2 linked regions of the Macaca mulatta genome follow. The protein of the gene in region 2 purifies or fractionates together with the protein of the main gene of each other region. This does not show direct contact. Links are inferred from orthologs where the notes say so. Each region holds a gene or a part of one and is shown on either strand. Other genes may lie near its edges.

What was found.
Region 1: the proteins of NAF1 (region 2) and NOP10 purify together in Homo sapiens (co-immunoprecipitation; 6 studies listed by BioGRID and IntAct, with this or other methods). This does not show direct contact. The link is inferred for Macaca mulatta from reciprocal best matches to the Homo sapiens genes NAF1 and NOP10.

What each region holds. Positions count from the first base shown.
Region 1 is NC_133412.1:11,535,689-11,539,047, forward strand, and holds NOP10 (H/ACA ribonucleoprotein complex subunit 3), read right to left. Parts: upstream 1,909-3,359; 5' UTR 1,853-1,908; coding exon 1,799-1,852; intron 890-1,798; coding exon 749-889; 3' UTR 501-748; downstream 1-500. Other genes in the region: NUTM1 (NUT family member 1), read left to right, coding at 2,397-2,478. UniProt on the Homo sapiens protein: Required for ribosome biogenesis and telomere maintenance. Part of the H/ACA small nucleolar ribonucleoprotein (H/ACA snoRNP) complex, which catalyzes pseudouridylation of rRNA.
Region 2 is NC_133410.1:171,742,998-171,746,497, forward strand, and holds part of NAF1 (H/ACA ribonucleoprotein complex non-core subunit NAF1), read right to left. Parts: intron 2,392-3,500; coding exon 2,231-2,391; intron 1-2,230. UniProt on the Homo sapiens protein: RNA-binding protein required for the maturation of box H/ACA snoRNPs complex and ribosome biogenesis.

The DNA.
Region 1 (3,359 bases), on a different chromosome or scaffold from region 2:
TGTAGTCAGCCACCACTGCATTCCAGCCTGGACAACAGAGTGAGACTGTCTTAAAAAAAAAAAAAAAAGCCCACCACTAAATCAATGAGTTCAAAGATAAGTTAATAAGGAGAAAAATCAGACTAAACAGGTTAAGTAACTTTCTCAAAGTTATACAAAAAGGAAATATTGGTCTTCTTTCAATTCACTGCCTTCTCTCTATAATATACCTATTACTTTTTCAAGTACTCTTCCATTTTTAATCAAAATGTTATTTCAAGGGATGAGAAATTACGTGACAACAGGGGTATTTTTCAGTGAATGCTGACAGCTGTGAAAGTCTTAATCTTTCTTCCCCAATACCCTCCTACCACTAACAGCACATGACCACTCTTGCTACAGGACTGAAGTTTTTCTTCCAAGTGGTGTTGTTGCAACTCTCTGGAGTGCTCTCGTCCATCATCTCCCTCCCTTTAAAACAATACTACCAATCCTTTCCTCCAACAACACAAAATAAGAGCTTTTCAAATCATTTTATCTTTAATAATCTGGTAGTAACTTAAAATACGAAAAAAAAAGTCAAACGTGTTCCCTTTATGGGTGATGCCACCATGACTGCCTCACACAAGCATGCTCAATCACCAGGATGAGACTGGATGCCACAGAGTATGGCTGGCAAAAAGGCATCAGGGCTCACAGACTGAGGAGTTTGGTTACGGAGTCTCCGAGGGGTAACAGGCCGCAGAATAGACATCAGTTTAAGGGGCCTTCAGAGGACAGGGCGCGGTTGCTGGGTCATGAGCACCTTGAAGCGTTTCTTGATGGTGATTCGGTGTCGAGAGTATTTGTCATCTGGGGAGAACCGAGCAGGATGGGCTGAGCAGGTCTGTTGTCCCATCGGGTCAAATTTCTGCTCCGGGAATAGAGAATGTATGTCAGTACAGGAGTGATGGGGTGGGGACAGCGCGAAAAAGGGCAAACATGAAAACAGAAGATGCAATGATCAGCTCAAAAAGTTGTACAAATAAATAGAGAAATACAAAACTTAAAAAGGCTGGGCGCGGTGGCTCACGCCTGTAATCCCAGCACTTTGGGAGGCCGAGGCAGGAGGATGGCTTGAGGTCAGAAGTTTGAGACCAGCCTGGGCAATATGGCGAAACCTCGTCTCTACAACAAACAAACAAAACCAACCAACCAAACAAAAAAACCCTAAACCAAAAATTAGCCAGGTGTGGTGGCGCACGCCTGTAGTCCCAGCTACTCGGGAGGCTGAGGCAGGAAGATTGTTTGTGCCCAGGAGGCGGAGGTTGCAGTGAGCCGAGGCACTACAGCCTAGGCAACAAAGCGAGTCCCTGTCTTAAAAAAAAAAAGAAAAAAAAAGAAAAAAAAGAAAAGTGAGTGCAATGGCGCTATCCGGGTTTACTGCAAGCTCCGCCTCCCGGGTTTAAGCGATTCTCCTGTCTCAGCCTCCCAGGTAGCTGGGAAAACAGGCGCACGCCGCCACGCCCGGCTAATTTTTGTATTTTAGTAGAAACGTAGTTTCACCGTGTTGCCCAGAATAGTCTCTAACTCCTGAGCTAAGGTAATCCACACGCCTCGGCCTCCCAAAGTGCTAGGATTACAGGCGTGAGCCACTGCGCCCGGCCAATTTTGTTTTTTTAAAATAAAAAATTCGTCGCGCGCTCCCGGTTCTCCCCCACCTCGGTTCTGCACTTTCTGGTTCCCTCCACCCAGCTAGGTAACTCCGTGTATGGCCTCACCCATTCCTCCCATCTACATTTCTCGCCATGCCTATTTACAACCTATTTTCTCTCCTCACCTTCAGCGTATAGACCCGATCTCCCTCCTCGTTGAGGTAATACTGGAGAAACATGACTGCTCGTAAGCCAGAGGTCCCAATTCGCTCCGCTGCTCCGTCTGCAGGGGTCCGCCCGACCGCGTCACGTGTTCGTCAATTTCCTTCCTGCATAGCCGGAAGTCTCTCTCCTGGCACGCCGGAAAATGTAGTCAATTTTTGCCTTATTTTCAGCTAGCCAGAAGGGGGCGCACGAGGGCAGGGCTTGGCTTGGGGGGCCACACTTGCAACTTTGCAGGCTAAAACACGTGGAGTGTGCCTACTGTGTGCTAGGTACACGGCGCTAGAGGGGGGTAGGGATGGATGTGGATAGAACATTGACGTATAGAAGCTTGTCTTTATCTCAAGATACACACCCCTTTCAGGAGCAGTGAGTTTCCAGTGCCTGAAGAAACAAGGGCTCCAGGATTCAGAGCCCCTTTGCCCTAGGGAAGAAGGAAGAGGTTTTCTTCCCTCCCCTCTTTTACATCCAGTTTCCCTGCTCCATTTCAAAGCGTTGGCGGTAAAGAATGCATGTTGAGTATCAATATTCCGTAAAGCGAAAATAGCGTAAAGTTATTTTATGAAACGAAGTATGTTTCAGCGGTCGAACCAAGATTTAAACTTAGGTCCCTACCGCAAATTCAGCGCTCTTTCTTATAGTGGTGAGTAGCTAATAATAGCGTAATAAAGTGCACCTTCTAGGAGATTTTACAATTTTTTAAAGAATATAGAAGTTCTCCTTATTCGTTTAAAGAAATGAAAATGAGAACCAAAATATAATTACAAAGATCATCATTACGCCTTATTTATAATGACAAAAGCGTTGGCATATATGTTGTGTAACCAGAAAAACCTGCAAGGTTTTTTTTTTTTTAGAATATGGTTTGGCCGGGCGCGTTGGCTCACGCCTGTAATCTCAACACTTTTGGAGGCTGAGGCGGGCGGATCACAAGGTCAAGAGTTCGAGACCAGCCTGGCCAATCTGGCGAAACCCCGTCTCTACTAAAAATACAGAAAAAATTAGCTGAGTGTGGTGGTGGGCGCCTGTAGTCCCAGCCACTTCAGAGGCTGAGGCAGGAGAGTCATTTGAGCCGGGGAGGCAGAGGTTGCAGCGAGCTGAGATAGCGCCACTGCACACCAGCCTGGGTGACAGAGTGGCACTCCGTCTGAAAAAAAGAATATGGTTTGTGACCGGGTGCAGTAGCTCAGGCCTGTAATCCCAGCACTTTGAGAGGCCGAGACAGGTGGATCACAAGGTCAGGAGTTCAAGACCAGCCTGGCCAATATGGTGAAACCCCGTCTTTACTAATAAAAATACAAAAATTAGCGGGACGTGCTGGCGGTCACCTGTAGTCCCAGCTACTCGGGAGGCTGAGGCAGGAGAATCGCTTGAACCCGGGAGGCGGAGGTTGCAGTGAGCTGAGATCACGCCACTGGTCTCCAGCTTGGGTGACAGAGCAAGAGACCCTGTCCCAAAAAAAAAAAAAAGATATGGTTTGTATTTACTTGTAGTTGAATAAAAAATCTCTGCAAGTATTCACAA
Region 2 (3,500 bases):
AAAGCTCATTTTTAATCTTTTTAATTTTGTTAATTTCATAGTTTCAAGTGCTATTTTGTTATTCCATTATGTTAAAATATCACAAAGTAAAATATTACAAAGTATTAGGACTAGATGTCCTTATTGTTTTAAACTAGATCTCAAAAATAAGATTCCCAGGAATTAAGGCCATTAAAATCAATGTACAGATGTCAGTTTGCTGGCACAACATGAAAGTTGTTAAGTTTGCTTTAAATTTTTGATTCAGAACTTTGACATTATATATGAGTATCAATGACTTTTCCATCACTTAAAAGAAAAAAAGCATTTCCTCAATTGTCATTTCACACATGCGCCTTAAATATAGCTCTGGTATTCCTTTCTGCATACGTGACATCTCATGATCTGGACTGCTGTTAGCCTGGAATCACAGGCATAAATGGGAAAAATTCCCCAACTACTGCATCTATTACAAAAAATCAAAATCTCTAATGGAAAGATCAAGCAACATTTCAAAAAGCACTTTTAACAAGACAGTAAGTACATGAGAAACTAAGATCAAAATAACCTCATCAGAGAACAGTAAGCTTGAAAGGAGCTGAACTTCTCTACCTCAAAGACAAAGTCCTCCACCGAGTTCCCATGACAGACGCCAAAATGCAGTCTAGAATACAACAGTTTTCCTGGGGGAGGGAGGTTTCTGAAATATAGGTCTAATTTCCCACTTCATTGATTTACTACTACTTCTTAATAGAAGAACTGCAAATCAAAACCAAAGACTGAATCTATTATTTAAAATCTATTTAAAAACCATCTTCAGAAAACCTCTTCAAGTTTATCTGTTTTAAGCTAAAATACTCTATTTGTTAAAAAGCTGCATATGTGGCATATCCACAGCAGTATCTTTATATTCAAAACAGGATGAAATGCTAAATATTTAAAGCATTTTAGAATATATTAATATCTTGAAGGCTTTGTGTCTATTTAATTCATCTTTCTTGTCAGTGTTATTTAGGAAAATAACCTTATGCAGTCTGAAGAATAACTTAGGCAAAATATTCCTCCAGATTTTTATGTAGATTCTTAAACATGAGTTAAATCAATTATCAGGACTAAAATTTTCATCTCTGAAATAAATGAAATTTGGTGACTTGAGACTTTATTTAATATGTAAGTGGCATAAGTAATCTTCTTATGCCATGCAACTGGGGCTGGTACCTTTGACATAATATCAAAGTTACTCAGTGACCAAAGCTCCTTTGTTTTCCTGCAAAAACAGCATCTATAAAAATCTATCGCCTAGGTTTTAAGTTTCCAATAAAAGAAGAGCTAGAACTAAAAGGAACTTCTTTGTCAAACTGAGTGCAAAGTCTTTCTGGATTTAACCTTCCCCCAATCTTTGGCAGTCTTTTCTTCCACTCCCAATCTGAAAATATTTTTTGCGGCTCATATTCATTACATCATTCGAAAGCATTCAAGTTATTTTTATTAAAAAAAATCTATTCTACTTAAATTCATATGCTATCTGATGATATAAAAAATTAAATAACATAATTAAAACAAGTTCAACTGATACAAACAGCTTTACGACTAACAGCTGGCAACAGCTAACATTTGAAAAATATTCAACCAATGGGAGCAAAAATATAAAAAAATTGCTGGTCACATGCCACAGAAATCACTTAGCATTATTTGTAAAGAAAATGGAGAGCACTGGTTTGTTGGTTAGGTCAACTCCATACACCATGGCTTTCTACACAATTCTTCAGGGACACGTGTTAGTTGTCTCTCTACAAACTTACAATTTATAAGCAAAATAAAGAGATATACTCATTTTTTTTCTCTTGAAAATTAAGTTTTATTGAAGAGCAAGGTCTCTAAATAGAATCCCAAGAGAATTTTACTTAACTGAAAAAAAAGTTATTAAGAAATGATAGTAATATTAGTACTAATACTAAAATAGCAAGTACATTAAAGAAAGTATATAATGGAAAAAACACTGAACTAGAATCAGATAGTGTACAAGGCTCAAATGTGCTCGTAATGGCTGATTATTTCATTTTTTGCAAAAGATATGAGTTCTACGTACAAAATCTGAAAATAAATTGTAGGCTTCAAAGATATTGTTAGGAAGATAAATGAACTCTTTGCAAGGGAGACACAATATAACTATAAGAAACTAAATCACTGAGAATTATTCTTGAAATATAAGTTACGTAAGTGAAGAACAACATGGCAGTAAAGTACTTACTGTTTAAGTTTTTCTGTGAATATATATTGGGTGAAATCTTTCATTGATGGAGCAAAATACATAGTCTCCTTTATTTTAATACCTTTACTCTCAATGTGATCTGAAGAATTAAACCGTAACACATAAAATGGATGTGCAACAGGTCCAAATATCTCAAATATCTGTAATAGAAACACAAAGTCCTCTTTTAACATGTAAAATAACTATTTGAAAAGTTAGCAGTGTTTTCTTTTAAAAATCCCACTGATAATTGCTAGAACAAGGTAATTTTGTCAATGTTAGGGCAATAAAATAATTTTTATTTATATTTATGTCATTTTTACATACTCAGTCTTCATGTATTGATTAAAATGCACTCGCTCATTCCAGATTTCCCTTCTATGAATGTAAAAACAACAGTAACAAGTTTGTTCCTCACCAAATTCAAATCATTTTGGTGGTACCAACTAGATGCAAATTATGATTTTTTAAAATTATTGTTCATTTAAGTTGTAAGGTACAAAGAAAAGGATTGTAACTGGTAACTTTTGAGAAATAACATGTATACATTTGGAATCATCAGATGGGAAATATAAAAGCAAGCTTCTAACTTCAATAGGTGTTAAATCGCTTTTGCTGTTTCCATAGTGTGAGGAATTTTGTAAAATTAAAGACTTTTTCTAATTTAACAAATAATAAAGTGGAAGTTATTTACGTTTAAAAAACACAAAGATGGTGCAGCCTTTAACATTTAACTAAAAGAACTGCTTTTAGCAGAACCACATATTTTACTTCTGAAAACGTTTTAAGAATAATGAAAGGAAACCTCTTGGTTTCAAACTGTATTTTCTTCTCAAAATACGTGAATTAAAAAATATATTTTCTGGCTGGGTGTGGTGTGGCTCACTCCTGTAATCCCAGCACTTTAGGAGGCGAGGCGGGTGGATCACCTGATGTCAGGGATTCAAGACCAGCCTGGCCAACATAGTGAAACCCCATCTCTACTAAAAATACAAAAATTAGCCGGGTATGCTGGCAGGCACCTGTAATCCCAGCTACTCAGGGGGCTGACAGAAGAGAATCGCTTCAACCCAGGAGGCAGAGGCTGCAGTGAACCGCAATTGTGCCATCGCCCTACAGCCTAGTGGACAAGAGCGAGATAATATATGTATATTATAGAGATAAGACCATGACCAATGCCAGTACAGATTTTTCCAGTCTTTTTTTTAATATGTTATTTTTTCTTTACGACCATACTGTAGTTTTGTATACTGTCCCTTTTTAAAAACCT